Macaca mulatta: one gene and its partners. The protein of the gene in region 3 interacts with the protein of the main gene of each other region in a pairwise test. Links are inferred from orthologs where the notes say so. Each region holds a gene or a part of one and is shown on either strand. Other genes may lie near its edges.

The links.
Region 1: the proteins of EGFR (region 3) and PRKCA interact in binary tests that used the Homo sapiens proteins (3 or more experiments, as listed by UniProt). The link is inferred for Macaca mulatta from reciprocal best matches to the Homo sapiens genes EGFR and PRKCA.
Region 2: the proteins of EGFR (region 3) and HDAC6 interact in binary tests that used the Homo sapiens proteins (3 or more experiments, as listed by UniProt). The link is inferred for Macaca mulatta from reciprocal best matches to the Homo sapiens genes EGFR and HDAC6.
Region 4: the proteins of EGFR (region 3) and CDC25C interact in a protein complementation assay, tested with the Homo sapiens proteins (3 studies listed by BioGRID and IntAct, with this or other methods). The link is inferred for Macaca mulatta from reciprocal best matches to the Homo sapiens genes EGFR and CDC25C.
Region 5: the proteins of EGFR (region 3) and TNFRSF1A interact in a protein complementation assay, tested with the Homo sapiens proteins (3 studies listed by BioGRID and IntAct, with this or other methods). The link is inferred for Macaca mulatta from reciprocal best matches to the Homo sapiens genes EGFR and TNFRSF1A.
Region 6: the proteins of EGFR (region 3) and MAST1 interact in binary tests that used the Homo sapiens proteins (3 or more experiments, as listed by UniProt). The link is inferred for Macaca mulatta from reciprocal best matches to the Homo sapiens genes EGFR and MAST1.
Region 7: the proteins of EGFR (region 3) and PPP5C interact in a protein complementation assay, tested with the Homo sapiens proteins (2 studies listed by BioGRID and IntAct). The link is inferred for Macaca mulatta from reciprocal best matches to the Homo sapiens genes EGFR and PPP5C.

Annotation. Positions count from the first base shown.
Region 1 is NC_133421.1:76,041,815-76,046,039, reverse strand, and holds the start of PRKCA (protein kinase C alpha type), read right to left. Parts: upstream 2,801-4,225; 5' UTR 2,754-2,800; coding exon 2,581-2,753; intron 1-2,580. UniProt on the Homo sapiens protein: Calcium-activated, phospholipid- and diacylglycerol (DAG)-dependent serine/threonine-protein kinase that is involved in positive and negative regulation of cell proliferation, apoptosis, differentiation, migration and adhesion, tumorigenesis, cardiac hypertrophy, angiogenesis, platelet function and inflammation, by directly phosphorylating targets such as RAF1, BCL2, CSPG4, TNNT2/CTNT, or activating signaling cascade involving MAPK1/3 (ERK1/2) and RAP1GAP.
Region 2 is NC_133426.1:48,878,877-48,882,996, reverse strand, and holds the start of HDAC6 (protein deacetylase HDAC6), read right to left. Parts: upstream 2,801-4,120; 5' UTR 2,681-2,800; exon of another isoform or gene 2,665-2,680; coding exon of another isoform or gene 2,653-2,664; exon of another isoform or gene 2,272-2,652; intron 2,165-2,271; coding exon of another isoform or gene 2,135-2,164; coding exon 2,042-2,134; intron 1,957-2,041; coding exon 1,828-1,956; intron 1,699-1,827; coding exon 1,610-1,698; intron 1-1,609.
Region 3 is NC_133408.1:73,468,115-73,472,128, forward strand, and holds the start of EGFR (epidermal growth factor receptor), read right to left. Parts: upstream 2,801-4,014; 5' UTR 2,540-2,800; coding exon 2,452-2,539; intron 2,313-2,451; exon of another isoform or gene 2,257-2,312; intron 1,901-2,256; exon of another isoform or gene 1,761-1,900; intron 1-1,760. UniProt on the Homo sapiens protein: Receptor tyrosine kinase binding ligands of the EGF family and activating several signaling cascades to convert extracellular cues into appropriate cellular responses.
Region 4 is NC_133411.1:147,195,034-147,199,061, reverse strand, and holds the start of CDC25C (M-phase inducer phosphatase 3), read left to right. Parts: upstream 1-1,228; 5' UTR 1,229-1,602; intron 1,603-1,974; exon of another isoform or gene 1,975-1,978; 5' UTR 1,979-2,012; coding exon 2,013-2,206; intron 2,207-3,518; coding exon 3,519-3,613; intron 3,614-4,028. UniProt on the Homo sapiens protein: Functions as a dosage-dependent inducer in mitotic control. Tyrosine protein phosphatase required for progression of the cell cycle. When phosphorylated, highly effective in activating G2 cells into prophase.
Region 5 is NC_133416.1:7,274,592-7,278,836, forward strand, and holds the start of TNFRSF1A (tumor necrosis factor receptor superfamily member 1A), read right to left. Parts: upstream 2,801-4,245; 5' UTR 2,573-2,800; coding exon 2,534-2,572; intron 1-2,533.
Region 6 is NC_133424.1:13,395,912-13,399,411, reverse strand, and holds part of MAST1 (microtubule-associated serine/threonine-protein kinase 1), read right to left. Parts: intron 2,284-3,500; coding exon of another isoform or gene 2,252-2,283; 5' UTR 1,991-2,251; coding exon 1,908-1,990; intron 125-1,907; coding exon 36-124; intron 1-35. UniProt on the Homo sapiens protein: Microtubule-associated protein essential for correct brain development. Appears to link the dystrophin/utrophin network with microtubule filaments via the syntrophins. Phosphorylation of DMD or UTRN may modulate their affinities for associated proteins.
Region 7 is NC_133424.1:58,844,825-58,848,896, reverse strand, and holds the start of PPP5C (serine/threonine-protein phosphatase 5), read right to left. Parts: upstream 2,801-4,072; 5' UTR 2,754-2,800; coding exon 2,633-2,753; intron 1-2,632. UniProt on the Homo sapiens protein: Serine/threonine-protein phosphatase that dephosphorylates a myriad of proteins involved in different signaling pathways including the kinases CSNK1E, ASK1/MAP3K5, PRKDC and RAF1, the nuclear receptors NR3C1, PPARG, ESR1 and ESR2, SMAD proteins and TAU/MAPT.

The DNA of each region.
Region 1 (4,225 bases), on a different chromosome or scaffold from region 3:
TAATTTTGGCTTAAGGAACCAGATGCTAGAAAATATCATTCCTATTGTTTGCATTTGAGATTACCATGATCTAATTTCGACTGAGAACCGACAGCAGTCAAAGCACGTACGGAGGGTATTTTGTTCTTGTAAATGACTTTAGAGAATTTACTCTGTAAGCAGAGAACCCTGACATGGACATTCAATTGCAGGTATTGTTCTACTAGGATTAACTGCATTAACATTTCTTCAGAAGGCTGAGCGTCATAACCTCTTGCTTCACATAGAATGTTTAATGCACAAAGTATTTCACATACTTTTAAAATTAACTTAAGAGTCATCCCCCCTCACCAAAAACCATAATGAACTCTAAACATTTCACTTAAAAATATCAGTGATTTAATATTGAAATAAACTTGCAAATCAAGGACCCCGTAGAAACAACAATGAAAGCAAACTGAAAAAGACAATCCCTGTAGATGGTTTCCTGGGACTTCCAATTGGTTGGTTTACAATTAAATGCAGAGAGCTGCAGGGATACTCAGGGGGGCCTTTATCTTCCACTTCACAACACTGCTAGTGACCTGAGCGCCTCTTCAGCTCACCAAGGGCTGATCCTTCAAGGGCAACTGACAGTGGAAAGACACTAGCTAGCCTCGGTCGGCTGCAAGTCCCTTTCTAACTCTCCCACTTCCTGCAAAAGTCACCAGCAGTCTGTTCCCTTTTAATGGACTCTCACAGTTGACCACCTCCTCTTAACCAAATGCAATATTCTCTTTGCCCTGATGCTCCGAAATTGTATTTTAAATAGCCTTATCTACGATTACCTACTCCTTTGAGCACAATCGCTTCATATGCTGACTAGACAGTGGAAATCACTCATAGAGGTGGCTGTGCTTTTCGTAAAAGTGTACTTGGGAGCAGATGTCTAAAAAGGAAAGGAAAAATTAAACACCTTATCAGCACCACGATCATGGGACCTGACCTTTGGGATGTTTTTCCCCAGGTGTGATGGATTCAGACAGATCCATCCATATTATGTTCACTCTAGTGGCCCAAGATACCTGTGCCACACAGCTGGCTGGTGGCAGGATTCACTCCATGACTGCCACCCTGGGTAGCTCCCCCTGGCCTAGAAGGGGAGGGAGCTAAGAAGCCCTAGCCATAGCTCTGTCTTGTCAGGAAATTGCTACACGACAAAGAAGAGGTAGAAGAGTCAGGGCATCCGGCAATCTAAGAGAAAAACCAAACTACTGCTGCTCTAACTAGAGGACCTAGAGCTCCTTTAGTTCCAGCTTTCTAAACTTCTGTGTGGTGACGGGGAGCTGGGAAGAAGGGTCACACACTTTTGAGAATCAGATGAAAGCTGTAATTCTCTCACCAGCAAAAAGATTCACAAACACAATTTCACCCAGTTTTGCAGGGTTCAGAGACCCCTGAAGCCCTTCTATGTATCGATTCTCCATAAGCCCCCAAGGATCCTCCGAGTTAAGAATGCCTGAATTCATTGGCGATTACCTGAACTCTGACACCTCTGGCCCTTATGTTATTTTTCTTAAATAAGGCCTCTGTCCTCATCAACAGGGTTACAGGTCTAATCTCGTGTTGACAGGGTCTATTTTAATTTTTTTTGAGACGGAGTCTCGCTCTGTCTCGACCAGGCTGGAGTGCAGTGGCCCGATCTCGGCTCACTGCAGCCTCCGCCTCCCGGGTTCAAGCGAGTCTCCTGTCTCAGCCTCCCGAGTAGCTGGAATTACAGGCGTCTGCCACCACGCCCGCAAATTTTGTACTTTTAGTAGTACGGGATTTCACCATGTTGGCCAGGCTGGTCTCGAACACCTGACTTCAGGTGATCCGCCTGCCTCGGCCTCCCAAAGTGCTGGGATCACAGGCGTGAGCCACCGCGCCTGGCCGACAGGGTCTATTTTAAATGAGTCCCTCTGCCCTTGTGCCATTTGCCTGCTCGAACTCTCCCTCCCCCACTGCAAGCTTTCAACAGTTTGTTCTCTCTCTCTCTGCTCACTCAGAAAAGTCAAAGTCTGTCCGTGCCCAGTAGATGCAGCCTACAGTAGGCAGGGGCCCAAGATTCCAGCGCGGTCCAGCCCGATGGGAAGCACAAACACACCCCCCCGAACGCGCCCAGCCTGGCTCGCCAGCAACTTGGACCGCGCAGCGCAATCGCCGCCGCTCCCCCGTTACTCCGGGACGCGTTTCTCCGGGAACCTTCGCTCCTTCGGGCCTCTCCTCCTCCCCTGTCCACTGGGCTCCCACCCCGGCAAGCGGCCGCTCCGCTGGGTGCGTGCGGGTGGACGCCCCCGGGGAGGTGACGGGCCCGGCCCGGGGAAAGATCCCCGCCGCCACCGCACGGGGCCAGCCTCCCTCCGGCGCCAGGGGGTGTGTGTGGCGGGGCGGCGACGTCCCGGGAGTCCTGCCCGCCGGTGTCAGGGCCGGGAGCGCGTGTCACTCCGGGCGAGAGTTCGGACTCCCGCCGGTTCCAAGTTCTCGGAGTGAGCCAGCCCCGGGGCGGACTTGCCGGCGCGCCGGGGACCGGGACCCAGGGGCGGGGAGGAGCGGGGCAGGGGTGCCCGGCCCGGCACCTACCAGATGAAGTCGGTGCAGTGGCTGCAGAAGGTGGGCTGCTTGAAGAAGCGCGCGATGAATTTGTGGTCCTTCACCTCGTGCACGTTCTTCTGCCTCAGCGCCCCTTTGCGGGCGAAGCGGTTGGCCACGTCCTGAGACGCCGTGGAGTCGTTGGCCGGGAAAACGTCAGCCATGGTCCCCCCCAACCACCTCTTGCCTCCGCCGGGGAGCGGCGGCCGCGGAGGGCCGGGTGGGCGGGGGCGGCGGCGGAGAGGTGCGGGCTCGGGGCGACCCCGGGCGGGGGGCGCGGGCCGGTGGCCGAGGTCGCGGCGAGGGGGCGCGGCGGGGACCGGGGAGAGTCAGGCCGGTGCGGCGCAGAGCGGGAGCGGGAGCCGGAGCCGGAGCCGGAGCCTGAGCCGCTGGCTCGCCCGCTGGCCCCAGGCTCACTGACAGCCCGGCGCCCGGCGCTCGCGCTTCCTACTCGCGGCGGCAGAGGCGGCCCGGAGCGGCGCCGCCCACCGCGCATGCCCCGAGCGCGAGGCCGCGCGGACGAGAACGGCGGGGGCGCGCGGGCCAGGAGCGCGCGGGGGGGGGCGGCGGCGGCGCCGAGCGGGCCGCGCCGAGTGCGGAGGAGGCAGAGGGCGCCTGGCGGTGCTGGGAAGACTGAACAGGGAGAGGCGGCGGCGGCGGGCGGCCCGGGGAGGGCCAGCCCGAGTGGGGATGCGGAGGAGGAGGAGGGCGGGAGTGGCGGGTGCGCGCTCCTCCGCCGCCTTTTTCTTTCCTCCCTTCCTGCTCCCGGCTCTCCACCCTCTCGCCCTCCTCCGCCTCAGTTCTCCTCCTCTTCTTCCGCTCCTGCCGTCCGGCCTCCTCCTCTCCCCGTCTTCCTCCTCCCACTCCCGCTCTCTCTCTGTCTTATCGACCGGCTCGGAGTCCTGCGCCGTCCGTGCCGGGCCGAGAGGAGCCCGCGTTCCGGAGTAGGCTCCACGCGCAGCCCCTGCCCCGGAGCCTCCCGCCCGGTGCTCACCCGCTAACCCCTGAGCACACGCAACAGGGAGTCCCTTCCCCATCTTCAGGACCCCCGATGTCTCCGGGGCACGACGCCCGTGTGTTAGCAGCCTGTACCAGCTTGAGGTTTCACCTGGCCAAAATGTCGCTTTCATCACGTGTGCCCTAAAGGACACAGGCTCTAGACCTTCCTACAGGAGGAAGACAGCGATTTTTAACTAATTAAGCATTGACCCTTTCCCCTACCTTCTCTTCTTGACCTATACCGTATTTCACCTGCGTGTCGTAGAGACTTTTAATTTGTACGTCGGGCATTTATCACCACGTGGGATGGTTAAAGGACTTGTCTTAGGTATTTATCCCGTTATTCACTGGCCATCAGAGGGACGATGTTGATTATCAGGCTTTCTTGATTTTGCAAGTCTAGGACCTTAATTTAGAAATCATTTTGCATCCCAAGCTAATTACTGCAATACTGTCAGGTGCAGAGTGCAGCCGGTACATTTGTAAATTACCAAGTAAAACTGCCTGTGAAAGAGTAGCGGACATGGCTATGCAAAGGACGCAGGTGGGGATGCACCAGCTAATCACTCGCTGAATATTTATCAGGTCTGCCTGGAGGCCGCTAAAATACTTAAGGGAAATAATCATTTCTCAGCAT
Region 2 (4,120 bases), on a different chromosome or scaffold from region 3:
GATCCCTGCTCGAATGTCAGTGAGGCCTGCCCTGACCAGCGTATTGAAAATTGAAGTCTCCTCCACTGTACTTTCTCCTACTATCCTCCCTTTACTGCTTCTCCATAACACTGCCCTTTTCTACCACAGTGCATCATTTACTTTTCGTTTATTTATTGTCTGTCTTCCCCCTTTTCCCTGAAGGCACGGGCTTTTGTTTGTTTTGTTTACTGCTGCATTCCTAGCTCCTCAATAGATGGTAAATAGGTATTCCATAAAAGAAGTCTTTTCCCATAGTAAGTTACTCTTAGGTTGGGATAAGGGATATAGATATTAATTGGTAAACACACAAGTATGACAATTAGCAAACAATGTCATGGGCTAGGAAAATAAGATCAGGTACTGGGGTAGGGTTTGGTCAGGCAAAACCTTCTCTGAGAAAGTCTCATTGGGATGTGAAAGGTAGCTGGAAGAGAAGGCCGAAAAGAATCTCTGGGAAAGGGGTTGGTCAGGGTACAGACCAGAGGTAAGAGGGTGCCTGGCATGTTGGAAGAACAAGGGGACTAGTGTGGGTGAGGAGGATTGGCTGATGAGGTCACAAAGTGATGTGGAGCCAGATCATGTGGAACCTTCGAGGCCACGATGAAGAATTTGGACTTTACCTTGAGGGCAACAGTTTGCCCTTAAAGCATTTTTTTTTTTTTTTTGAGACAGAGTTTTGCTCTTGTTGCCCAGGCTGGGGTACAATGGCACAATCTCGGCTCACTGCAACCTCCACCTCCCAGGTTCAAGTGATTCTCCTGCCTCAGCCTCCCAAGGAGCTAGGATTACAGGTGCGTGCCACCACGCCCGGCTAATTTTTGTATTTTTAGTAGAGACGGTGTTTCACTGCGTTGGTCAGACCGGTCTCGAACTCCTGACCTCAAGTGATCCACCTGCCTTGGTCCCCCAAAGTGCTGGCATTATAGGCGTGAGCCACTGTGCCCGGCCTCCTTAAAGTATTTTAACAAAGACATCATCTCATACATATTTTTTTAGGTTGCTGCATGAACAGACAATAGAGGTGAGGCTGGAAGCAGGGGACCACGGAGGAGGCTTCTGCAAGTCTAGGTGAGTGATGATGATGGTGGCAGTGGAGGTGGTGAGGAGAGGTCAGAACATATAGTCAAAAAGATTTGCTGATTCTTTTTGAAAAGTAAAGCAAATGGGAGGTTTCATCCTTCTGTTTCAGTACAAACGTCTCTTCCTCTATAAAGCCTTCTGGGAAGCCTGGATACTAGTTTAGGATCCTTTTATACACCCTTGAATCCCCTGGTCTTTAGTCTGTTTTCATTAAACACATCATACTGCTCTTGGCTGTTTAATGATCTGCCCTCCTACTCATCAATCCGCTCCTAGAGAAAGGACCCTGTCTATTGTTTGGTACATTTGTATCACCAACTCTTGGCACACAATAGGCAATAAATGTTTGTTAGCTACACAGAAGAACCCTTTCAAGTGTGAGCCCTACCTCTCCAAATCATCTGCTTCCAGTATCCAGGCTGGGGTAAGAAAGGATTTATTCTTGCTAATGGGCTCTAAATGTGTGTATTTTTGTGTTTTGGAGACAGCCTGGAGGACCCAGCCTCACCTGTCATCCCAGAGGCAATGGAATTCATTTAACTGCTCATCCAACACCAAGCCAGTGCCAGCCAGTGCTTCAGCCTCAAGGTTCAGATCCTGCAGAGGAAAAAAAAAAAGGACATACAGATCCATTTCAGGCCCTGAGTCAGAGGGAACTGTCCAGGGTTGGGAACCTTTGGGTTTTGATTGTCATAGGAGTCTAAACTGCAGCCAGGCCCTGCTCACCATCCCTTGCAGTCCCGCGATTAGGTCTTCTTCCATTGCTTGGCCGAGCTTCTTCATTTTGCCTTTCTTCTTTACCTCCGCTAGATTGGGGATGGAGCGGGGAACGGCTCCCTTTTTAATGTTTCGCTTCTGTGAATCAGAGAGAAGGGTCAGAGTCCAGGGAATGACCAACTTGCTCCCTCTCCCCCTCATGAGGGCGGGTCTAGGGCCTCACCGAAGTGACACTGGAGTCCTGAGGGGGAGATTGGGGGTTCTGCCTACTTCTTCGCTGCCTGGTTGTGGTAGAATCCTGGCCGGTTGAGGTCATAGTTGAGGAGGCTTGACCCCTGCCGCGGTTCTGGAGAGGTGGGAGCGTGGGTATGTGAGGGGGCTAGTGTGCCCTGAGGACCCCACCTCTCTGCCCTTTTCCAGGCTCCGCCCCCTCTATTAGATTCCATTCCTTACACGATCTGATTCTCCACAGCCTTCCAAACTCCGCCTCTCTCAGGCCTTCTCCCTCCACTCAGGTGGCCATTCTACCTGGCCCCGCCCGGTCCGCTAGACTCCACCCCTTTTACAGGATTCTCTTTCCCTAGTCTTGCCCTTTCACTGAGCAATGAGCCCCCTGGCTCACTCAGTCCGTTTTAGGGCCTGCCCTTTCCAACCAATCACCGCCCCTTCCACTCTCCCAAACCCCATTCCCAGACCCTCTAAGCCCGGCCCAGACCCCATTCCTTCACGAATCTGCCCTTTCGGCCTACCTCCCGGGATAATCACCCACCCTCTCACTCAGCCGGCCCCGGCCCCGGCCCCGGCCCCGGCTCCACCCTTAACGATTCACTTAACTCCACCCCTCATCGGGCCGGACCGGTACCTTCCACTCCGCCAGATCCCGCCCCTAGCGTTTCAACCAGCCCCGCTCCTCAGGGGACTGCCCCGTTCCTTCAACCAGCTCCACCCCCTGCCCAGACCCGACCGCTAACGTTTCGCTAACCCCCTTCAGCCAGTCCCTAGCCGCCTTCGGTCGGCCTCCGCCCCCTTCCCGCCTCCGCCGTCGACGCGCTGTACTCGCCGCTCCACTCACTGGACGCAGCCCCTTTCTCAAACTCCGCCCTTGGCTCGCTCCGCCAAGTTTCTGGCGACCCGTGGGGACGCGAGCGCCCTGGCCTTTCTTTTCCATTGGGCCTGGTCTCTCGACTGCCCGCCCAGATCCCGCCTCCAGAGGGGAGCGTGCCTCAAGGCCGCGCCCCTCGCGCGAGCCACACCTCTCGCGAGCTCACAGGCGGCGGGGGAGCGCGGCGGGGGAGCGCGCCAGCGTGCTACGCCAGCTGTGCTGAGCCACACCTCTCGCGAGCTCACGGGCGTCGGGGCGGTGCGTCGGCGTGCTACGCCAGCTGTGTTGCGCTTGCGTAAAACGCAGGCGCCGGCAGTTCCCAACGGGGCTGAGGCGCAAGTTTTCCCGTGCCTCGGCTACCGTCGCTGTCGTCCTGGATGCCATAGCCGCCGCCCCTCCGTCCCTGTCCAGTCACTTAAGAGCCCTTCGGGCCGGCGGTGTCGCGAAAGGAAGCAAGGAAGCGAGGGAATTAGGAAGGGGCGTCTTCTCTTTTCCCCGCGACTTCCCGCGCGACACGCCCTGATGACGTAGAGCGGGCGGGCTGGTTGTGGCTGGGTCGAGAGCGAGGTTGCCACTGGATTTTGGCTGGCGGCGGCCAAAATGGGCGTGGTGACGATGCTAAATGTTGTGAGGATTTTCCAAGTTAATATTCACTACGGTGGTACACAGGAAGCGCTCGCCGAATGTTAGCTATTAATATTCTGCCGCAATATTCTGGGTGGAAGGAGTCTTAGTGGGGGCAGGGAATGGTAATGATAGCAAGTATTATGTGACAGGCATCGTTGTAAACCACAATTCTATGAGGTAGTTCCCATTATTAAGACTGCTTTGCAGATAAGGAAACTGAGGTTACGGGACTTAACCATGTGACCTTGGGCAAGTTACTGAACAGCTCTGTGCTCCGTTTCCTCATCTGGAAAGTTGTGATAATAATAGTGCCCAGGGCCAGAATGGACTTGAGGAGGGGAGTTCTCATGGGCAGCAGCTCTCCCTATCTGCCCCCTCCAACGGGTAACCACTGCTCCCAAGCAGTAATAGAAAGTGTGTGTGAGTCTGGGGAGCTGTCCCTGGGCACCCTGTCTCCCCCGCAACTCCCACTCCGTGTCTGAATGTCAGCTCTGCAGGAGGCCGGTTTGTCCTCTAATCTCCCTCTCTCATTCTCCACCATTTCCTACCAGGCTATAAGCTGGGACCGGAGAG
Region 3 (4,014 bases):
TTCCCCCATAGGAGGAGAGTGTACACCTCTTATGCTTAATGTGGGGATTAGGACGCATGAAACGGTGTCTGGCAGTCATTACGTCTAAGAGCAGCAAGTCCAGAAGTTAGCATGTCCCAGAACCAAACAAAACCCTTACTAAACAAAGTGCATCTTGAATAAAATCGACTGAATTTGATAGACACAGGTCTCAAACAAATTTCTGTTAAAAGAGCTCATCTCCTACTTTAATAATTTGCCCCTGAAAATTCAGTCTTTTATGTTACTGTAACAGAATAGCGCCTGTTCACCTACTCTCTCTGTCTTCAGGAGTTTCTGTTTTGAGTGAATACGGGATAAACAGGCAAATTAAGTGGTATTTATATTTTTCTCAGGAACAAATCTCCAATCACTAACAGTGGTGTTCAAGCAAGTAACATCAAAGAATGAGAACCCCACTGGAGGGAGAAAAGTGATGCTTTGGAGGTGCTCTGAGGGTTTAATTTAAAATAAAGAGAAGAGTCTCTTCAGCAGAGACAGGGCTGACACCTGACTAACAGGACCCGCAGTCAGCCCCCAAGCAGGCAGGAGGGGCCCTGCAAGCTCAGCAGAGAAGAAACCTTTCCACCAGTTCCTTCAATGAAAAGAGGAATCTTTTATTATTGGAACCACACCCCACCTTTTCCCTCTTTCCTATATTTGGCAACATTGTTAAAATTCCAGATGTCCTCAAAGAGCTCTTTGCATTGGCAAGTAATCTCTCCGGAGACTTTAACAATCCTTCTTCCGTCCGGTGATCCCCAAACCTGGCTCCCCAACAGATCACATGAAAAGCATTAAAAAAAAAATCCCATGTCCAGGTCTTGCCCCATGCCAATTAAATCAGAATGTCTGGGGGCGGGATTCAGACACTGGTTTTTGTTTTGATTTTTTTTTTTTTTAATCCCAGGTAATTCTAACGTGCAGCAAGGTCTGGGAACCACTGTTCTATGTCTTGCCCCTCCCCCAACGACCGCGCTGGGCACCAAACCCCAACTCCCCATGCCAGTGACATCAACAGCAAGTACGGGCCTGGCTCTTGGAACCCGCGCAGCTCAAGGTTGGAATTGTGCAATTAAACCTTCCGAGGCATGTTTCCCGTGTCAAGTGGGTTTATGGTCAGTAGTCACGAAGCCAGACTCGCTCATGTTCTGTCTGGACACTTGGCACACTTGAACCAGGGACATCAATCCGGTGTGTGTGTGTGTGTGTGTGTGTGTGTGTGTGTGTGTGTGTAAGACAGGTTTAATATTTTGGTTGGCTCAATGTCAAATTCTTCAGACAGCAAAAAGAAACATCCAAGAAAGAAACTCTCCGGGTTTTGAGGAGAAAACTTTGCTGTGAGCCCCATTTTGAAACACCGTGGTGCTGGCCAGGATGAGCTCTGCTTCCTGGGCTTCCGCACTAGAGGCCGCGATCCCCCCAGCAGTGGCCGGACAGCCGCGTCCCCCTCCACCGCGAAGCCCAGGCGCGACCGAAGGGCTGCAGGTGGGGCAGACCCGGACGTCCCCGCGAGGCGGCCACCGAACGAGAGCCCGGGCCTTTCTGCGCCGGCGCCCGGGAGGGAGCTCGGGTCCCCAGGAGGTGGGGGGCATACCTGGACCGGCAAGACGAGGGCGCGCCGGGTGAGGCGAGCGGCCGGGGTCTGCGCCCAAGGGGCGGGTCGGACCCCACCTGCCTTTTGCCAACGAGGAAGTTAACCGCCGCCAGCACCACCCCTTCCCAGGCGCCGCAGGTGGTGGCGGACTTCTCCCAGCTCCCAGGTTGAGGCTGCGACTCCACACCTGGGAACGAGGATCGCGGGGACCTGGAGAGGGGCCGGGGTCAGGCTGGCCGGCTCCGGCTTCAGTTTGAGACCTGCGCGGAGCGCGGAGGCAGGGAGGTTCGCTCAGGAAGCCGCCTGTCCCGCGGGGTCCGAAGGGAGGCTTTATTTTCGGGGTCCTTCCTCAGCTTCCCTAAACAGCGCAGCCTCGGCGGGTGGGCAGCGCCAGTCCCTCGGGTGCGCGCCGCGACCCCGCCGCGCCCTGGGAAGACAGCGCGGGGCGCACGTGCGGGACCCCGGCCCCAGGCACCCACCCGCACGGGGCTTTCGCCCACTGACGCCGATTCCGCGCAGCGGGGCGGGGAAAGTGAGGGTGGAAAGTTGGGAGCGGTTCGGGGCGCCGGAGGTCCAGGCGGCCGTTTCCCCGCCGGCCCGCAGCCCAGTGCCCCACGCGTCTCCTCCCCCGCCCGCCCCAGACTCTCCTGGCCCAAGAACGAAACGTCCCGTTCCTCCCGCGGTCCCGGCCGGCGGCGCAGCTGATCTCAAGGAAACAGGAAAGGACGGGCGGGGGCGCGGGCGCCGAGCCGGTGCGCCGGTGCGCGGCTGGGCTGGCTGCGGGGTCCGGGGCGCGATCCGGGGGCAGCGCGGGAGCCGGCGAGACACGCCCTTACCTTTCTTTTCCTCCAGAGCCCGACTCGCGGGGCAGAGCGCAGCCAGCAGCGCCAGGAGCGCGGCCCCGGCCGTCCCGGAGGGTCGCATAGCTGCTCCCCGAAGAGCAAGCTCCGGCTCTCCGGATCAATAGTGGACGGAGTCAGGCGGCCGTGCGCGGTGGTTGTGGCGTTAGCGGCGAGGCGGGGACTCGGGCGGACGCCGACGAGGTGGCCTGTCGTCCGGTCTGGGCGGCGGCGGCCGCCGGGGCTAGCTCGGGACTCCGGCCGCTTTGGCCGCGGCGGGCGCGCACACCGTGCCGGGGGCGGAGGCTGCTGCGGCCGCGCTGCGCCGGGGGCTGCCCGGACGTCTAGCTCGCGCGGGCCGGGGCGCGGGGAGGCAGGGCGGGAGGAGGAGGGACCAGGCGGCGGAGGAGGGATCGGGAGGAGCAGAGGAGGAGGAGAATGAGAGGAGGAGGGAGGAGAACCAGCCGCGGGGACCCAAGGCCAGCGGCCGCCGGAGGCGGTGGACAGCGGTGACCCCCGCGGGACCCGGTCTCCCGCGGGAAGGGGGTGGCGCGCGGGAGGGGAGCGGGTGCCCTGAGGAGTTAATTTCCGTGAGGGGCGTTCACAGCACTGCCCCTCTGGACTGGGTCCCCGCAGACTTGCAGGCCCAGCCTATGTCGAGGTCGAGCCAAATCTGTGCCAGGGTCCCCTTCCCCCTTTCCCTTCTTTTGTTTTACAGAACAAACTTCTACCAGCTTTAGACAGACTGGCCGAGCCCTAGAGCCAGCGTCGAATAATGGCACCGACGGGGAAACTGCTCCTTTATTCTGGTCCCCACCTCCCCTGCAGCACCCAGGGACCCTCGCGGGGATCAGAGGCTGGCCTGGCAGCTGAGGAGGTCGCTGTGCCCGCGCGGCAGGGGTGCCAGGCGTCCGAGGTGGTGCTCTAAAGTCCGAGGGTCCTTCAGATCCCGTGAAGCACCCTAGAAATCGTCTGAAATGAGAGCACCCAACTTTGGGCGCAGAGACAGGCCTCCTCAATGTTTACTGCAACCGGCCGTGGGTACTTTGAAGCCAATGTGTGAAGCACGTTACTTCGCAAAAGTGAGGCTCTTGGAATAAAGGCTTGACACAAACAGCTGTGGAGATGCTTTTAGAGAGGCTAAGTGTCCCACTGCACCGGTAGCTCCCGCAGGAGAAATGCCAGGGAAGTTCGCGAAAGTTTGGCCGAAAGAAACTGAGCTGCTTTAGGCTGCAGGAACTTGAGCTACATTCCTTTGGCAAGTCCACCCCATCCCCACTGTTGCTTCTCCTGCAGTAAGAATGTCCTCTAGGTCCATGTTACAGTCAGACCCCTCCTCTCTTCACGAGATTCACTAGGACCTTCAGGCCTGGTTCAACAACCCTGATCTCCCGGCTCTGTCAAAAATCATAATCCTGAAGTAAGTAGAGCTACAGATCTGCCCTTTGCTGTCTCTGAAGGGGAGCAACCTTGCATCTTTCCTCCGCATCCAGCGAAGTGTTTGTGCCTGGGTTTCACGCCCTGCAGCCTGAACGGTGGGTTTTTCACCACGGCAAGCGC
Region 4 (4,028 bases), on a different chromosome or scaffold from region 3:
TTTGAACATTTTTATTATGGAAATTTTCAAATATACACTGAAGTAAGGAGTATGGGGTAATACCTTACAGCTCAAAGTATGTTCCTATGACCAGCTACCTCACCATCAGCTGGGGGCTTGTTAGACGGGCAGAATCTCCGGCCGCAACCACAACCCAGACCTCCCAAATCAGAATCTGCATTTAACAGGTCCTCAGGTGGTTAGTGTGCAAATTAAACGTTGACATGCACAGATATGATGGACCTTCCTGCCCCCTATCACTCAACACTCAGGGTCAATCTTGTATCATCAATACCCTCCCCCAGCACAGGATTATTTAAAAGCAAATCCCTAACATTAGGAATGTCTTTTTGTTTCACTCTAATGCCCAGGCTGGAGTGCAGTGGCGCAACCACCGTCTCCCGGGTTCCAGCAATTAATCATGCCTCAGCCTCCCAAGTAGCTGGGATTACAGGTGTGTGCCACCACACCCAGCTAATTTTTGTATTTTTAGTAGAGACGGGGGTTTCATCATGTTGGCCAGGCTGGTTTTGAATCCCTGACCTCATGTAATCCGCCCACCTCGGCCTCCCAAAGTGCTGGGATTACGGGCGTGAGCCACCGCGCCCGGCCAGTAATTTCTAAATATCACCTCGTCAATGTTCAAATTTCCATGAATAACCAATCTTTGAGGTCCTCTGGATTGTGATAAGGATTATACCAAGATAATTTAATTCCTCCACTTTCCCTGCAATGGAATTTCTTTTTACCCACGTAAACTAGCGTCTCTGAGATGCCGCACACTAAAAGAAACGCCAAACAAAGAAAGCTCTTGGAAGGGGCTAATGCCTCTCAGCATAAACACACACACCTGTCTCCCCCCAATACCTGCCACACCAGCAGCAAACGCTCCATGTCCCGTGGAAGGCCAGCAAAACTCAGAAGAAAACGTCCGCGAAAACGGCACGAGAAAGAAGCAAGGAAAATGAAACGCTTACAACACCCTCCACCCAAAAGAATCTCTCCTAGTATTATCCTAGCGAATGGTCATCACTAGTAAGGTGCGATTTAAATCTCCCGGGGTTCGTGGGGCCGAGGGAAAGAAGAAAACAGAAAGGGTGTGGCGATTGGTGAGAGGGAGAGCCAATGATGCGGCAGGCTCCCCGTGAGGCGGAGCTTACCCCGCAGCCGGCCTAACGCTGGTGGGCCAATCACTATCCTGCTCTGGCTATGGGGCGGGGCAAGTCTTACCACTTCCAGAGCAAGCACACGCCGGGTAATGTGCCAGCCCAACGATAGGCCGTGAGGGTCTGGGCGCGCGCACGGAGATTGGCTGACGCAGCTTAGAGGCGAGCGGGGATAGGTTACTGGGCGAGCGGAAGGTTTGAATGGTCAACGCTTGCGGCTGTTGATACTCTGGCTCGCAGGCCATAACTTTGGCCTCCTACGCGGGGAAGACGCTGAGTCCGACGTTGGCCTACCCAGTCGGGAGGCAGAGTTGCAGTCTGGTTAACTGCCTCCTTTCCCCCAGATTTTCTTTCATTCTGCTCGAGTCTTCGCCTGTGTCCGATCCCTATCCACTTTCCCTCCTCTTGTAGGCAAGCCTCAGACTCCAGGCTTGAGGTAAGTCCGCAGCCGTCTCCGCCACGGAATCACGGAGACCCCATTGTCCTCTTAGGGTCCAGTCGGCCCACACAAACAGAGATTGGGAGGGCCGAATGGGCACTGTCGCGAGTTACGACCTGGGTTCTTTCTGGTCAGGAGTCTCGAGCTGTGTGGCGTGGAACAAGTCAAAATCCTCTCTTCATTCCATCTTTAAGGTCCTAAGGTTGCCTCTCGTCGGTGAATTCAGGTTCTAACCTGGAGCCAGGCTGTGAATCACCCTTCGGGAATGCCCCTCTTCCAATGCTGATCCGCCTGGCTGGAAAGGGTGGAGGAGTTTGGGAAAGCTGAGGGAACTGAGAGGTACCGATAGAGATGACGTTTTCCTCCTAGCTAGGTTTTGTTTTTCTCCTGGTGAGAATTCGAAGACCATGTCTACGGAACTCTTCTCATCCACAAGAGAGGAAGGAAGCTCTGGCTCAGGACCAAGTTTTAGGTCTAATCAAAGGAAAATGTTAAACCTGCTCCTGGAGAGAGACACTTCCTTTACTGTCTGTCCAGATGTCCCTAGCACTCCAGTGGGCAAATTTCTTGGTGATTCTACAAACCTAAGCATTTTGTCTGGGTAAATATACTTTTATTTTTACACTTTGTTGCCTTTGCTATTTCCAAACAGTTGGGTTTGTTTGTTGGTTTGTTTTCAGTTATCCTGGCTCAAAGGTCAGGGTTTAAGTCTCAGCTCTGCCCTTGACTGTGTAACCCTTTTGAGTTCTTTTCTGTGACAAGAAATTATAATATCAGCCAGGCGAGTTGGCTCATACCTGTATTCTCCACACTTTGGGAGGCTAAGGAGGGCGGATCGCCTGAGTCCAGGAGTTTAAGACCAGCCTGGGCAACATGGCAAGACCCCGTCTCTACAAGAAATATTAAAAATTAGCTGAGCGTGGTGATGCCTATAGTCCCAGCTACTCAGGAGGCTGAGGTGGGAGGATTGCTTGAGCCCAGGAGCTGGAGGCTGCAGTTAGCCAAGATCGCCTCACTGCACTTCAGCTTGGGAAACAGAGTGAGACTCTATCTCAAAAAGAAAAGACAAGAAAGAAATAATAATCTCTTCCTATCTTACTAGGATCTTGTGAGAATCAAATGATGTGATATCTGGCAAAAGTCTTTGAAAACTGCTGCATTATGAGTCGGTCACTTTATTAGTATTAATATTAACGTTATTGCAGTTGTACTTTGAATTCTGATCATACCATGTCTCAACTAGCAAACGAAGAGAAGTAGTACCTGAGAAAAACTAGGGACTCCGGGGAGAAATCAAGCCTGTGTTCATGGTGCTCAGGACAGGGAATGTGGAGTCAAGATCCTCCTTGGCCAATAAACTCTGGGCCTCAAAAAAAAAAAATTATCTGTTTCAATATGTTGGTAAGGAGAAAATGAGGTACAGATTATGGTAGTGGGAGACTTTTCTCAGCCCAGTCTGAGATATTTCCAAAAAGCAATTAGATTTATTTGGACAGTGTTCAGATAATCTGATAGTCATTAAGGGGTGTTTCAGATGAAGAGGATTGGCCGGGCGCTGTGGCTCACACCTGTAATCCCAGCACTTTGGGAGGCCGAGGTGGGCGGATCACCTGAGGTTAGGAGTTCAAGACCAGCCTGGCTGACATGGTGAAGCTCCATCTCTACTACAAATAGCTGGGCGTGGTGGCAGGCGCCTGTGATCCCAGCTATTTGGGAGGCTGAGGCAGGAGAATCGCTTGAACCCGGGAGGCGGAGGTTGCAGTGAGCCAAGATCGTGCCACTGTACTCGAGCCGGGGAGACAGAGCAAGACTCTATTGCAAAAAAAAAAAAAAAGAAGAGGATGACATGATCTTTGACTTTTAAGGATATAACAATCTAATGGAAATTTCGATGTACCATTATGTCTCAACAGAGGAACCCCAAAACGTTGCCTCGATCTTTCGAATCTTAGCAGTGGGGAGATAACTGCCACTCAGCTTACCACTTCTGCAGACCTTGATGAAACTGGTAGGGAGAAGGGATATAAAGGCCTTGATTGAAGGGAAGAATAACTTTTAAGGGAGAAAACAGGGAAGTAGGATAGAGACAGAAGGTGGTGAAAGTATAAAAAGAGTCTGCCTAGAGAGATGGCATTTTGTGGGTAACTAGAGAATTTTTGAGAATGATTAAGCCAATGGGAAGAGAAAGATAATAACACTAATAGGAGCTACTTTGCATTTGAAAATGTTAGACAAGTAGGAACATATTTTGTTGACTGATTAACGGTGGGAATGAAAGTATAGTCATTAGGATATGAGAAGTTTTGTGCCTTAGTCTAATCTCAGCAGAGGCAAAGAAACCAGCGTAAAGAAATATGTTGGCCAGGTGCAGTGGCTCATGTCTGTAATCCTGGCACTTTGGGAGGCCAAGGTGGGCAGATCAC
Region 5 (4,245 bases), on a different chromosome or scaffold from region 3:
TACCCTGACAGGCAGTGACTTCAGATGTCAGCTCCACATCCACTTTTCTATGAGGCTTTCCCTCCCCCATCCCATCTGACCCATCTCTTGTTCCTTAATTCATTCAGCAAATAGCTAAGGAGTACAGTTTATGTGACAGGTCCTGTATGGGTGCTAGGGATGCTGAGGTGGATAATACACAGCTCGTGCTCTCAAGAACTCTCGCTTGAGTCAAAGACAGTCAGTTGTTGGCACTGACCTCTACACAGGGAATGCTGCAGTTGCACGGCGAAGGACACTGAAGCAGCGTGGGGAAGCTCCTGAATTTTCTGGAGCTGAGCACAGGAGCTGAGACCGGCTAAGCAAGGCAAGGCAGTGGACTAAGGCTCGTCTCCTTCCCCAGTTCCTTCTCCTCCCATTGGTGCTCCAGGACACCACATCACCATGCATTTGTGGATATTTTCCTCCGGATTGCTCTGACATCATTTTTCACTGTAAGCCATCTTGGTTCCTAGGCTGTAAGCTCTTTGAGAGCAGCAAAATCCTGTTTGCTTTGCCACCATTTCTCCTGTATCATTCTTCCCTACTCCCCTACCTCACCTCACCGCCCCCCCCGCCCCTACGTCCACCCCCCACACAGTACGCTCTGCATTGCCCATTGAATGGTGAGACATTCAGAAGGATGTTGCATTCCCTTTGTTTCCCCTTTCCCCCAGCTCCAGGCCAGGCTTCTGTCTCTTAGGAGACGTAATCCCACCTGGGCTGAAGCACCCCAGGACCCAGGCACTTCCCTTTACCTGTTCAGGCTACATTTACCCTCTATTTTCCAAACACGGGTAACCACCCAGTAATTACTACTAATCACAGCAATATAAACACTTTATTGAGTGCTTTCTATTTGCTACAACCTGTTTCCCTGATGGACTGTCAAAGCTATGGGCAGGGATTTTGTTCTCTGCTGTAATCCCAGCACCTATCACAGTGTCTAGCCCAGAGTGCACACTTAACAAATCAAAGGAACACTTAACATGTATCAGTCTATTCAATCTTCAAAACAACAGTATGAGGTCATGACTATGACCCCCGTTGTGGAGATAAAGAAACAAAGGCATGGAAGGTTAGGTTATAGAAGCTGCTCCTGTTCGTGCAGCAGGTGTGTGAGGGAGCCAGGGCTGCCCCCAAACAGAAAACAGAAGCAGGATGTCAGGGCAGCTGGCTGGTGGGGAGACCGTGGGGGGAAGGACAGCGGGAGGAAGGGAAGAGGGGGTGGGACTAAGGAGGAGGGAGAAGGAGAAGAGTGAGACCCTGACAAGGGACGTGCTGTTTGGGGACCTGAGGCTGGAAATGTGGGACCGGAGCGGAGCAGAGAGGAGGGGAAGGAGGACTAGCGAGAAAAGATTTCAAAAAAAGAGGCTCTGAGAAGTCTGAGGAGAGTCTGGGGAGATTGTTGGAAAGAAAGGAATGGTGGGAGAGGAAAAGTATAAGGCACTAAAGAGAGGGGAGGTAGGCGCAGCCTTCAGAGGCCGGGCAGGGCAGGGCCACAACAGGACAGGGAAAATCTGCCCAACTAGATGGGCCCAGGGCATCTGAACGGGATGATTCCTGGGCCAAGACGTGGAGGACGATCAAGGATACATTGAAACAAGGCTGAAGCCAGAGAAAGGGACATTTTCCAGTGACGAAAACAACTTTCTACCAACTTCCCCAAACTGAACTGTAGAATAAGAAACCAAGGGATTGTTGTTTAGCTCTGTGGAAAGCAGCGGGGAGGGGAAGCTGGAGGACAGGCCCAGCGACACTGACCAGGTGGGGGTAGGGCTAGCTCCCTGGGCAGGCTCAGTCCCACAGAGGCCACCCGCCTAGCAGCAGGCAGAAGGGTAAAGAATGTCCCCAGGTGAGAGACCGGGGCTTGGCCAGGGTACTGGGGACGCTGTCCACTGGGTTGCCTTGCCCCATCCAGTGTCCCAGCCCATTCTCAAATACCTCCCGCCACAGGCATCCCAAACCCACCACACCACCCCATCCCCACTCCTCAACTCACTCCCCCACTTCACCAGCCGCCAAACTCCTGCCCTACAGGGTGTGCTCTGCCAGGTTCCACAGGCAGCCTTGCCTCCCCACGGCCCAGCACACTGCAGGCCAGCCAGCTGACTGCAGGGACAGAATTCAGAACCGTCTGGACTCCCAGAGCACTAACCTTCCTACTCCCACTCCTTTCCTTTCCCCGCCAAATCTGCCCCACCCTGGGCCTATCACCTGCCCACATTCCCTTGGCCCTCGCAAACTTCCACGGCTGTCAGGGCTCAGGGCTTCCTTTTACTCTCTCCCTCTCAAACTTCTCCCATTCCCCTGCCTCAGCGCAGCCCCTACTCCAAGCGGTGGATGCATGGGGAACCCCACACTGGCAGTGGCTGACGTTAGGACCTGCAGGCCTGAGGCCGGCGCCAGGACCAGGCCCGGGCAGGAGAGGCTCGGCCCCCTCCCGGAGAGGGCCCACGCCGGCCGGGCGGTGCCTCGCCCACCAGCCCACTCTTCCCTTTGTCCCTGGTCTCACCAGTGGCAGCAGTAGGTCAGGCACGGTGGAGAGGCCCATGCCAGACAGCTATGGCCTCTCACTCCCCCATTTGGGCTCAGGACAGTGTGGCAGCGGCAGCGCTGGCGGCTTCCCGGGACTCGGTCTGTCCAGGACGTCCCAAGTGTCTTGGGGTGACAGTTGAGGGTTGAGACTCGGGCATAGAGACCACGGCCTGGTTCCAGTGATCTTGAACCCCAAAGGCCAGAACTGGAGCCTGAGTCCAGAGAATTCTGAGAAAATTAAAGCAGAGAGGAGGAGAGAGGAGGTGGGAGGGGAAGAGTGAGGCGGTGTTGCAACAGCGGGACAGGAAGAGCTGGAGGAGGAGGCCAGAGGAGGCGGGAGGAGGAGGCCCAAGGTTCTTTAACTCTTTGTAGTCCAGTCACAAGCGCAAGAGTCTCAGATCTGGCTGCCTTGCGCCCCCAACCCACCAATCCGACCACTCCCAACCAAACACCAAGGGGCAATAAGCCGCTTCCCCGCATCCCTAGCCTTTCCTAAATGGAACACAGCAATGAAAAGACCCAGAGTTTGGGAGTCAAATTCTCTGGGTTCCAGTTCAGAATGCTTAGCTTCTTAGCTGGGTGGTCTCGGACACATAACTGAACCTCTCTGGGTCCGTTTTCCAATTTGCAGAGTGGAGATAACCTGTCTCCTGGGGTTCCTGCAAGGATTTGTTCAGACACGAGAGACATAGATAAGCGTCTGACACATGATAGATACTCCATGTCCCTTAGTAATCCTCCCCTTTACTCCACAATTCTTCACTAGCCTCCTAGTCTCCCTCTTTCTTGGGAATTTACCGATCCAATCCAAACCTCAAAGTAAGTCCTAACCCTCATTTTCTGCCCTGACTGGGTCCCTGCCACTTCTCACCCCAGGTCTCATCCAGTCGCTGCCTGGCCAGGTCCCCCTACCCTGCCCCACTGTTGATCCTGGCTCTGCCACCAATCGTGGGACATCAGGCAACTCCTCTCCTAAGCCTCTGTTGGTTCCTCATTTATTAAATAGGGGTAACAATGCCTGCCCACCTACATGGGGAGAGTGATACCATGAGCATCAATGAGACATATCCACTAAGCTGCCGTGGAAATAAAGATATCTCCATCAAGTGTTCCTAGTATATTCCCAGTGCTCTTTCCTAAATATTCCAATACCTCAATTATAACTAACCTTAGAGATCATCTACTACAACCCCCTAGGTTTTTTTTTATTTCTCCATTTGCTTGTTTTTCATTTTTGTGTTTGTTTCGAGGGTCCGCTCTGTTTCCCAAGCTGGAGTGCAGTGGTACCATCACAGCACACTGCAGCCTCGACCTCCCAGGCTCAAGTAATTCTCCCACCTCAGCCTCCCAAGTAGCTGGGACTATAGGTGCATATCACCACGCCCGGGTAATTTTTGTACTTTTTGTAGAGACAGGGTCTTGCCATGTTACACAGGCTGGTCTTGAACTCCTGGGTCCAAGCGATCTGCCCACCTCAGCCTCCCAAAGATCTAGGATTACAGGTGTGAGCCACCATGCCCGGCCAACCCCCGGTTTTATAGAGGAGAAAACTGAGGTCCAGAAACCCAGTGTGCCAGGAGGCAGAGCCAACCGAGAACCCCAGACTCCTGACTCCCAATCCAAGGGCTGTTTTGGCTATGAGACACACGCTGCCACTTTATCTGTTACTGAGTCAGACCCCACATCCTG
Region 6 (3,500 bases), on a different chromosome or scaffold from region 3:
CTCCGCACCCACCAAGTCTCTGCCACTGGTCTCACCTAGGTGACCTGGCAGCGGGGAGTGGGGTCTCGGCAGCGTGGGCGAAGTGCTGGTCAGGATGAGGCTTTTCCGGTTACTGGTGCGGCAGCTGCGGGGAAGGCAAGGCAGGGGGGCCGGGCCGGGCCGCAGCCCAGTGAGTTCTTGTGCCCCACCAGCTGACCTCCCGTCTCAGATCCCCGCCTATCTCCCATCTATGTGTGTTTGGAGGCTCCCTGGGAGGGTTTCTCGAAGGAAAAGGTGGTGGAGGCTTCGGCAGGACTGTGTATGGCAGGGGATTTGCATGTGACATGTGTGTGAGAAACTCCCAGTGTTGATTATGTGTACGGCAGTGTCTGTCATGGTGTGATAGTCACTGTGTCTAGGTGACACTATTGGTGATAGTGTGTTTCGGTCTATGCGGGACATTCACTGTAGGTATCCACATGTGGCATCCACTGTATGAATTCCACAATGTGTGACCCCGAACGCATTCTAGTGTGATATGTGTGACACAACGTGTGTTTATCTTGTGTGACACAATTTGAGCATTTGTGTGTCTATGTGACACAGTGTGAAATGCCACTTGTCCATAACAATGTGTGCTGTAACACAGGGAGGCTGCATTTTTTTTTTTTTTCTTTTAAGTCAATGTCTCGCTCTGTCGCCCAGGATGGAGTTCAGTGTGCAGTGGCTCACTGCAGCCTCAAACTCCTGGGCTCAAGCTATCCTCCCCCTTCACCCTCCTGAGTAGCTGGGACTACAGGCGCCTGCCGCCATGCCTGGCCAGGATGCATGATCCCCCCTACATGTATCTATGTCTTTGTGTGGCATTCTGAGTCTATGTCCGATACTGTCCTTCCGTCTGGGTGTGACATTCACCATATGTGTCCATGTGTATGTAGCATCTATTGTGTGAATTTAACATCTTGTGACACTGGCCATGCCCAAACATATCACCACGTATGACATTCTCTAGGTGAGTATCGCATGTGATAACGTGTGATTTTGCGTGGTTCTCTCTCTGTAAGATCCCTACATCTGTTTATGCTGATGTTAGTGTGACACAGTATGTGAGATTCCTAGATATGACATCATGTGTTGTGACATTGTTGGATGCATGGATGGGATATTGCCACACATGTGTGCATCTTGGATGACATAATTGTGTGTGTGGATCACCATGCAAGTGACATCTTACTAGGTGTACACGACGTGGTGCCCCTGTGTGTCTGTGCATGGTTCTAACCTGTGGCAGCTGCAAGGCTAGGTATGTGTGGCACCTCCCAGTGTATCTGGGCCACTAGGGCTGTTGTGTGTGTATGTGTGTGTGACATCATGTCCTGTGTGACGCTGTGTGTCACTATTTTCAGTGTAAGACTGTGTTCTGGGGGGGTTGTGTTATGATAAACCCCCCCTTTTTTCTACCCCTCAGCATCCCAGCTCCCGAAGAGGGAGCCCCAAGCCCCTCCGTCCGTCCCCTCACCCACAGCCGCAGTGACTGAGCATATTAGCGCGTCCAGGAGCACGCGGCATGGGGGTGGGGGGAGGCCAGGCTGCGGCTATTGTTCTGAGGGTGCCAAGCCCCCCAGCCTCCCCTTCTTCCTCTACCCCCACCAGGCTGTTGGAGCCCGCAGCTCCAGCAGACAAAGGCGCCACAAACCCCCAGTGGCGCAGCCCCCTCCCCCCGCGGCCGTCCTCTCCAGCGTGCAATCCCCCCAGACTCGGCCCACACCACCCCCATTCAACCCCATCCCTGGCGGGAAGGCGCAGCTCGGGCACCTCTGGCGCAGCTGTACCGGGCGCAGCATCCCGGGCCCCGCCCTGCAGCAGCACCCGGAGCGGAGGCTTTTGCGGGGAGGGCTGGGACAGTGTCTAGGGGATCGGGGGTCTACCTCTTGGTGCGGCGGAACATACTGCCGCCGGGGAAGGAGGGCATCGAGAAATTGGAAAGCGCGGTCCAGAGAGAGTCAGACATGACCCGGCGGCGGCGACATGGTGGCAGGTGCGGCAGCGGCGGCGGCGGCGGCGCGGGGAGCAAGCGCGCGGGGCGGAGGCTGGAGCCGCCGCAGCGGGCAGGGGAGGGCAGGGAAGGGGAGGGCCCTGCGGCTGCAGCTGGCCGGGAGGGGGCGCTGCTGTGTGCGGGCGAGCCAGGCCCCGCCCGCGCACGCGCCTGGCGCCCCCACCCCGGCGGGAGAAGGGGCGGCCAGCCCCCGCCACGTCTCTCCCCAAGGCTCACCTGCTGCTTTTCCGGGGCAGGGGCAAATCCTTCTGGAAGGCAAAGAAGCAAAACGATGAAGGTCAGCGTGGACCTACCGTTGCTGCCCACAAGCATGCTCAGCTCCCTGGAGGAGCAGAAGCAGGGTAAGACAGGCCCCTCTTCAGCATTGTCACTTTCACCCTTGGCCATGCACTGCGGGCCAAGTTTCTTGGGGGAGAGGATCCCCGGGTGATTCCTCTCCTGACCCTCAGAGACCAACAGAGACCCAAGTACACAGGCGGGGTCCCGTATAAAGGCAAGTGAGTTGGCATCTCAGTGTGTGTTTGTGCAAATGAAATAGGAATCTTTATTTGAAAAATATGTCTTGAGCACTACTGTATGCTGACCCTATCCTAGGCACTAGGGACACAGCAGTGAATAAGTTACAAGCCCGGTGTGGTGGTGTGCACCTCTGGTCCCAGCTACTTGGGAGGTTGAGGCAGGAGAATCGCTTGAGTCCAGGGCAACACCAGCCTGGGCAACACAGCAAGACTCTCTGTCTCAAGGAGAAAAAAAAGTTTCTGGCCTTTTGGGACTAGTATTTGTAGGGTAAAGGGGACACTAAACAAGATTAGTGTAGAAGTGAACAAAATCATTTTAGACAGTAATTTGTCTTATGAATAAATTAAACAGGGTGATATGATGGACAATGGCTGGGATGGAGACACATTGTCAGAGAGGGCTGCTCTGTGGAGGTGGCTTTTAAGCTGGTGGCTGAAAGATAAGAGCCAGCCATGGGAGGATCTGTGGAGAGAGAATTCCAGGTGGAGGGAACTGCAAGGGCAAAGGCCTGGAGGCGGGAATAAGCTTGGCATGCTCAATGAATGAATGAAAGGTTGAATGAATGAAAGGTTGAAAGAATGAATGACTCATCTACACCTCAACAGATCGATCTGACTCCCAGCTAGAGTCACAGAGTTGGGGTAGGGGGTGGGGGGTAGGTAAGTAGAGTGACTCACAACTGAGATTTAAAATGGGAACCAGGGAGGCTAAGGTGGGAGAATCACTTGAGCTCAGGAGGTCGAGATTATAGTGAACTGTGATTACACCACTGCTGGAGTGAAACACGGTCTCAATTAAAACAAAAATAAAAACAAAAACAAAAACATAAAAAATTTAAAAAATAAAAAAATAAAAATGGAAATTCAGGTGATGGCCACGTAGTCATTTTTTATAATGACAATAATAATAATTATTAGTGGGTATTAAGTTTATGTGTCTGCATTTG
Region 7 (4,072 bases), on a different chromosome or scaffold from region 3:
TTTTTTTTTTTTTTCTGCCTGGAGTACCGTCTACCCTCTCTCCAGGCAGCCACTCTCACTTCCTCTCTGAAACACTTCTTGAATCTATTTCTGTCCCTCCAGCCTGGTTGGCGATCACCACCCCTCACCTGTCCACTAATCTAGCCTCCTTCCTGTCTTACCCTGGAGTCCAGTCTCTGCATGGCAGCCAGGGATCTTTTCTGAATGGTAACTGAACCACGGCACCCCACTCTTGAAACATCCCATGGCATCGACCACCCTCAGGATGACACCCACATTCCCCAATCTGACTTCCAAGGTTCTACCTCTGGCCTCATCTCTCACTGGTCCTACCTCCCTCTCATGGCTCCCACCAGATCAAACTTCTCCATACTTTGCTTCTGCTCCTGCTGGAGGCCAACTCTTTTCCAGGGGTCCAGATCCTTTCCACCTCCACCTTCTCCAGGGTTTTGCTGCTGCAAGTCTCCCCTCTCACATGCAGAATCAATTCTCCATCTCTACTGGACTCTACTCTCTTCCATCCTTACAAAAAATCCATCTTCCCCTGACACTGCATGTTGTTTTTTTTTTTTTTTTCTGTCTGTTGCCCGGTCTAGAATGCAGTGACGTGATCTTGGTTCACTGCAGCCTCTGCCTCCCAGGTTCAAGCGATTCTCCTGCCTCAGCCTCCCCAGTAGCTGGGACTACAGGTGTGTGCCACCACACCCGACTAATTTTTTAGTAGAGACGACGTTCACCATGTTGGCCAGGCTGCTCTTGAACTCCTGCGCACGTTCACTTCTTACCACCCTCCCCCATTTCTCCACTCTTCTTCAGAACCAATACTCCTAACACTTAACATTTGCTCTCTCCACTCCCTCCCTTCCCATTCACTCTTCAGCGCCCTCTTGGCTGCACCAGCCCCGTCATTCCCCAACAACTGCTCCTGTCAACATCACCATCAGCATCCACGGAGCCAAAGCCAATGGCCAGTGCTCGCCTTGGCAGCATCGGACTCAGGGCACCAGCTCCTTGTTCTATAAGCGCTCTCTTCTCTCCGCCTTCCCGACACCTTTCCTGGCTTCCTTTCCACCTCACTAAGCGGTCCTCCTTAGCCTCCCCCTCTTCCACTCGGGATCTGTCCTAAGTCCCCTCTCTAGACCCTCTTACTAGATTATCTCATCCATTCCCAACCATAGTTTGATCACACCCAAATTCTTCTCCAGTCCAGACTGTCCCATTTACTTACTCAGTGTGTCCTCCTGTAGGGCCAGGAGTGGTGGCTCACGCCTGTAATCCCACCACTTTGAGAGGCTGAGGTGGGCGGATCACCTGTGGTCAGGGTTTCGAGACCAGCCTGGCCAACACAGCGAAACCCCGTCTCCACTAAAAATACAAAAATTAGGTGGGCATGGTGGTGTGCATGCGCATCTATAATCCCAGCCACTCGGGAGGCTGACGCAGGAGAATCACTTGAACCAGGGAGGCGGACGTTGCAGTGAGCTGAGATTGCGCCATTGCACTCTGGCCTGGGCAACACGAGTGAAACTCCGTCTCAAAAAAAAAAAAAATTCCAAACTGCTCTTTGCAATGACTCGGGGAGACCCTGCATGATCTGCCCTCTGTCCTAATCTCATCTTGCTATTGGTCTCCCGCTAACTAGCAAAAGCCCCAGCCATGCCAGTGTCCTTTCATTCCCCACCCCAGGGCCTTTGCACAGGCTGCCTTAACTCCCTGGAACACTCCTCTCCAGTTCTTCCTCTGTGAGTTTCAGCTTAAATGCTTCCTGCTCAGTAAGGCCTTCCCCCACTACCCTATCTAAAGTAGCCTCCAACCCTTATTCTCTACTTCATCACGCTGCTGGTTTGCTTTCAAAGCACTCATCACAATTTAAGTATTTTACTTATTTACATGTTTTTTTTTTTTTTCACGTCTGGTTCACCTGCAAAATTACAAGCTAAGGACAGGACCACATCTCTCTCCTTCACTGCTATATCCCTAGAGTTAAGCACAGTCCTTGGCACATAACAGGTACTCAATAAATATTTGTTGAATTAATGAATGAATGGGTGCCCCACACTTGACTCTTTCTCAATATTCTAAGTGATACTATTCTTGGGGATTCCCACCCCTACTCCCAAGGCCCCCACCATCACATTCCTTTTCCTCGGTCAGCCCAAATCTTCTACTTCCTTGTTCCCCCCATCTAATGATCCATTCCCCACCCCCACGATTGCCGCCTCTATTGGGACTGTCCCTCCTCTACTCCCCACTTGGCGGCACCCACCCCAGGACTCCCCATTTGGTAGCGCCATCACTCACTCCCCCACCACATGTCACTGCCTGGTAGCGCCCTCTACAGGCCTCACGTTTGGTAGCGCCCTCATTCCAGTCCCCCTCTCGCCCCACAATTGGTGACGCCCTCCTCAGTCTCTCCACTGAGTAGCACCCGCTCCGCACGCCACTCCTAGGTATCACTCTCCGAAGCCCCCTATGTCGCCCCTTGGTAGCGCCATCCTGGGCCTCCCCACGCCCAGTCACTTGGTAGTGCCTGCCCCGCGCCCAGACTGCAGCTCCGCGTTGCCATGGTTCCGCGCGGGCCCGGCACCCTCGGCCTGAGCCGCTGTCCACCCTCCCTGCTAGGCGGGCGCACCTTTGAAGTAGTCATTGGCCTGAGTCTTGAGCTCCTCTGCCCGCTTCAGAGCGCCATCAGCCGGGTGCTCGTCCCGGGGGGGCTCAGCACACTCAGTCCGCTCGCCCTCCGCCATCGCCATGCCGCAAAGCGACCCCTACCCTGGCAACGGCCGCCAGCGGCACCCGGCCGAACCGTCGCGAAGGAGCGCCGGGTGGCCGCCGCCGCTGCCGCACAAGTGTCGTAAAGCGCGGGCCCTGAAGGGGCCCTTCACGCGCCTGCGCAGGTCCCTCTCGCCATAGAGCGCGCGGAGGACAAGGTGACCAGAGGGTCCCCGGACGGTACCCCTGGTAGAGAGAGCCAATAGGGAATGAGAGAAGGGGCGCGCGGGGAAACAGAGCTGGTGTGGCCTCTGCTCCCAAAGTTACCGTGTTCCAAGGCTGTAAAAAGTTTCTCGGTTCTTAAAGTGGGATTTCCCTGCTCTCCTCTAGGGTTGGGGGGTGGGTTGTGAATGTCGCTGGCGGGTGTGGCTGCTTTGCAAGGCAGCGCCATGCCCTACGCGGAGCCGGACCCGGGCGTCAAGCCCTATTGTCAGCTACCTGTGTGACCTTGAACAAATCTTCCCTTCCTCTCTAGGGCCTCAGTTACCCATCTCTGAAAAATGGGTGGCTTCTCAAGCCAAAAAAGGTCCAACCCTGAGGGTGTTTCTGAGTTTTTAAATGAAGGCACTCTGGATTTCAAGTCCTGAGCAAGGCTCAGAAGTGTGTTGCACCATCCCCTTTCTTCCTGTGTTCAGCTTCCCAAATCCTGAATCTTCAAATAAACTCTCCTGTTTGCCTTTTTACAGATTCTCTTGTCTGAGATCACAGCGTTGATTGCATGCACTCTGCCTCCCTCATTTACCCTTCACATGGCAGCTAGAGGTTTGGTTTGGTTTTATTTTGTTTTGTTTTGAGAGGGAGTCTCCCTCTGTCGACCAGGCTGGAGTGCAGTGGCGCAATCTAGGCGCACTGCAACCTCTGCCTCCCGGGGTTCAAGCGATTCTCCTGCCTCAGCCTCCCGAGTAGCTGGGATTACAGGTGCCTGCCACCACGCCCGGTTAATTTTTGTATTTTAATAGAAACGGGGTTTCACCACGTTGGCCAGGCTGGCCTCACTGCCGACTTCAAGCTATCTGCCCACCTCGGCCTCTCAAAGTGCTGGGATTACAAGAGTGAGCCACTGCACCTGGCCGAGGGATCTTTCTAAGACATAATAAAACCATGGCACACCCTCACTCCCAGCCTTCCATGGCCCCAGCACCCTTAAGAGAAAACCCAAACTCCTGATTAGGAGACCCTGAATAGTCTAACCTCAGGCTGAATAGTCTAATCTCCAGATTCCACCCCTTCCCCAACCCCCATCTGCCGTACACCCTTCCAGTCTGTCCTTTCTAAGCCCTCAGGTAGCACTAAGTCCTGT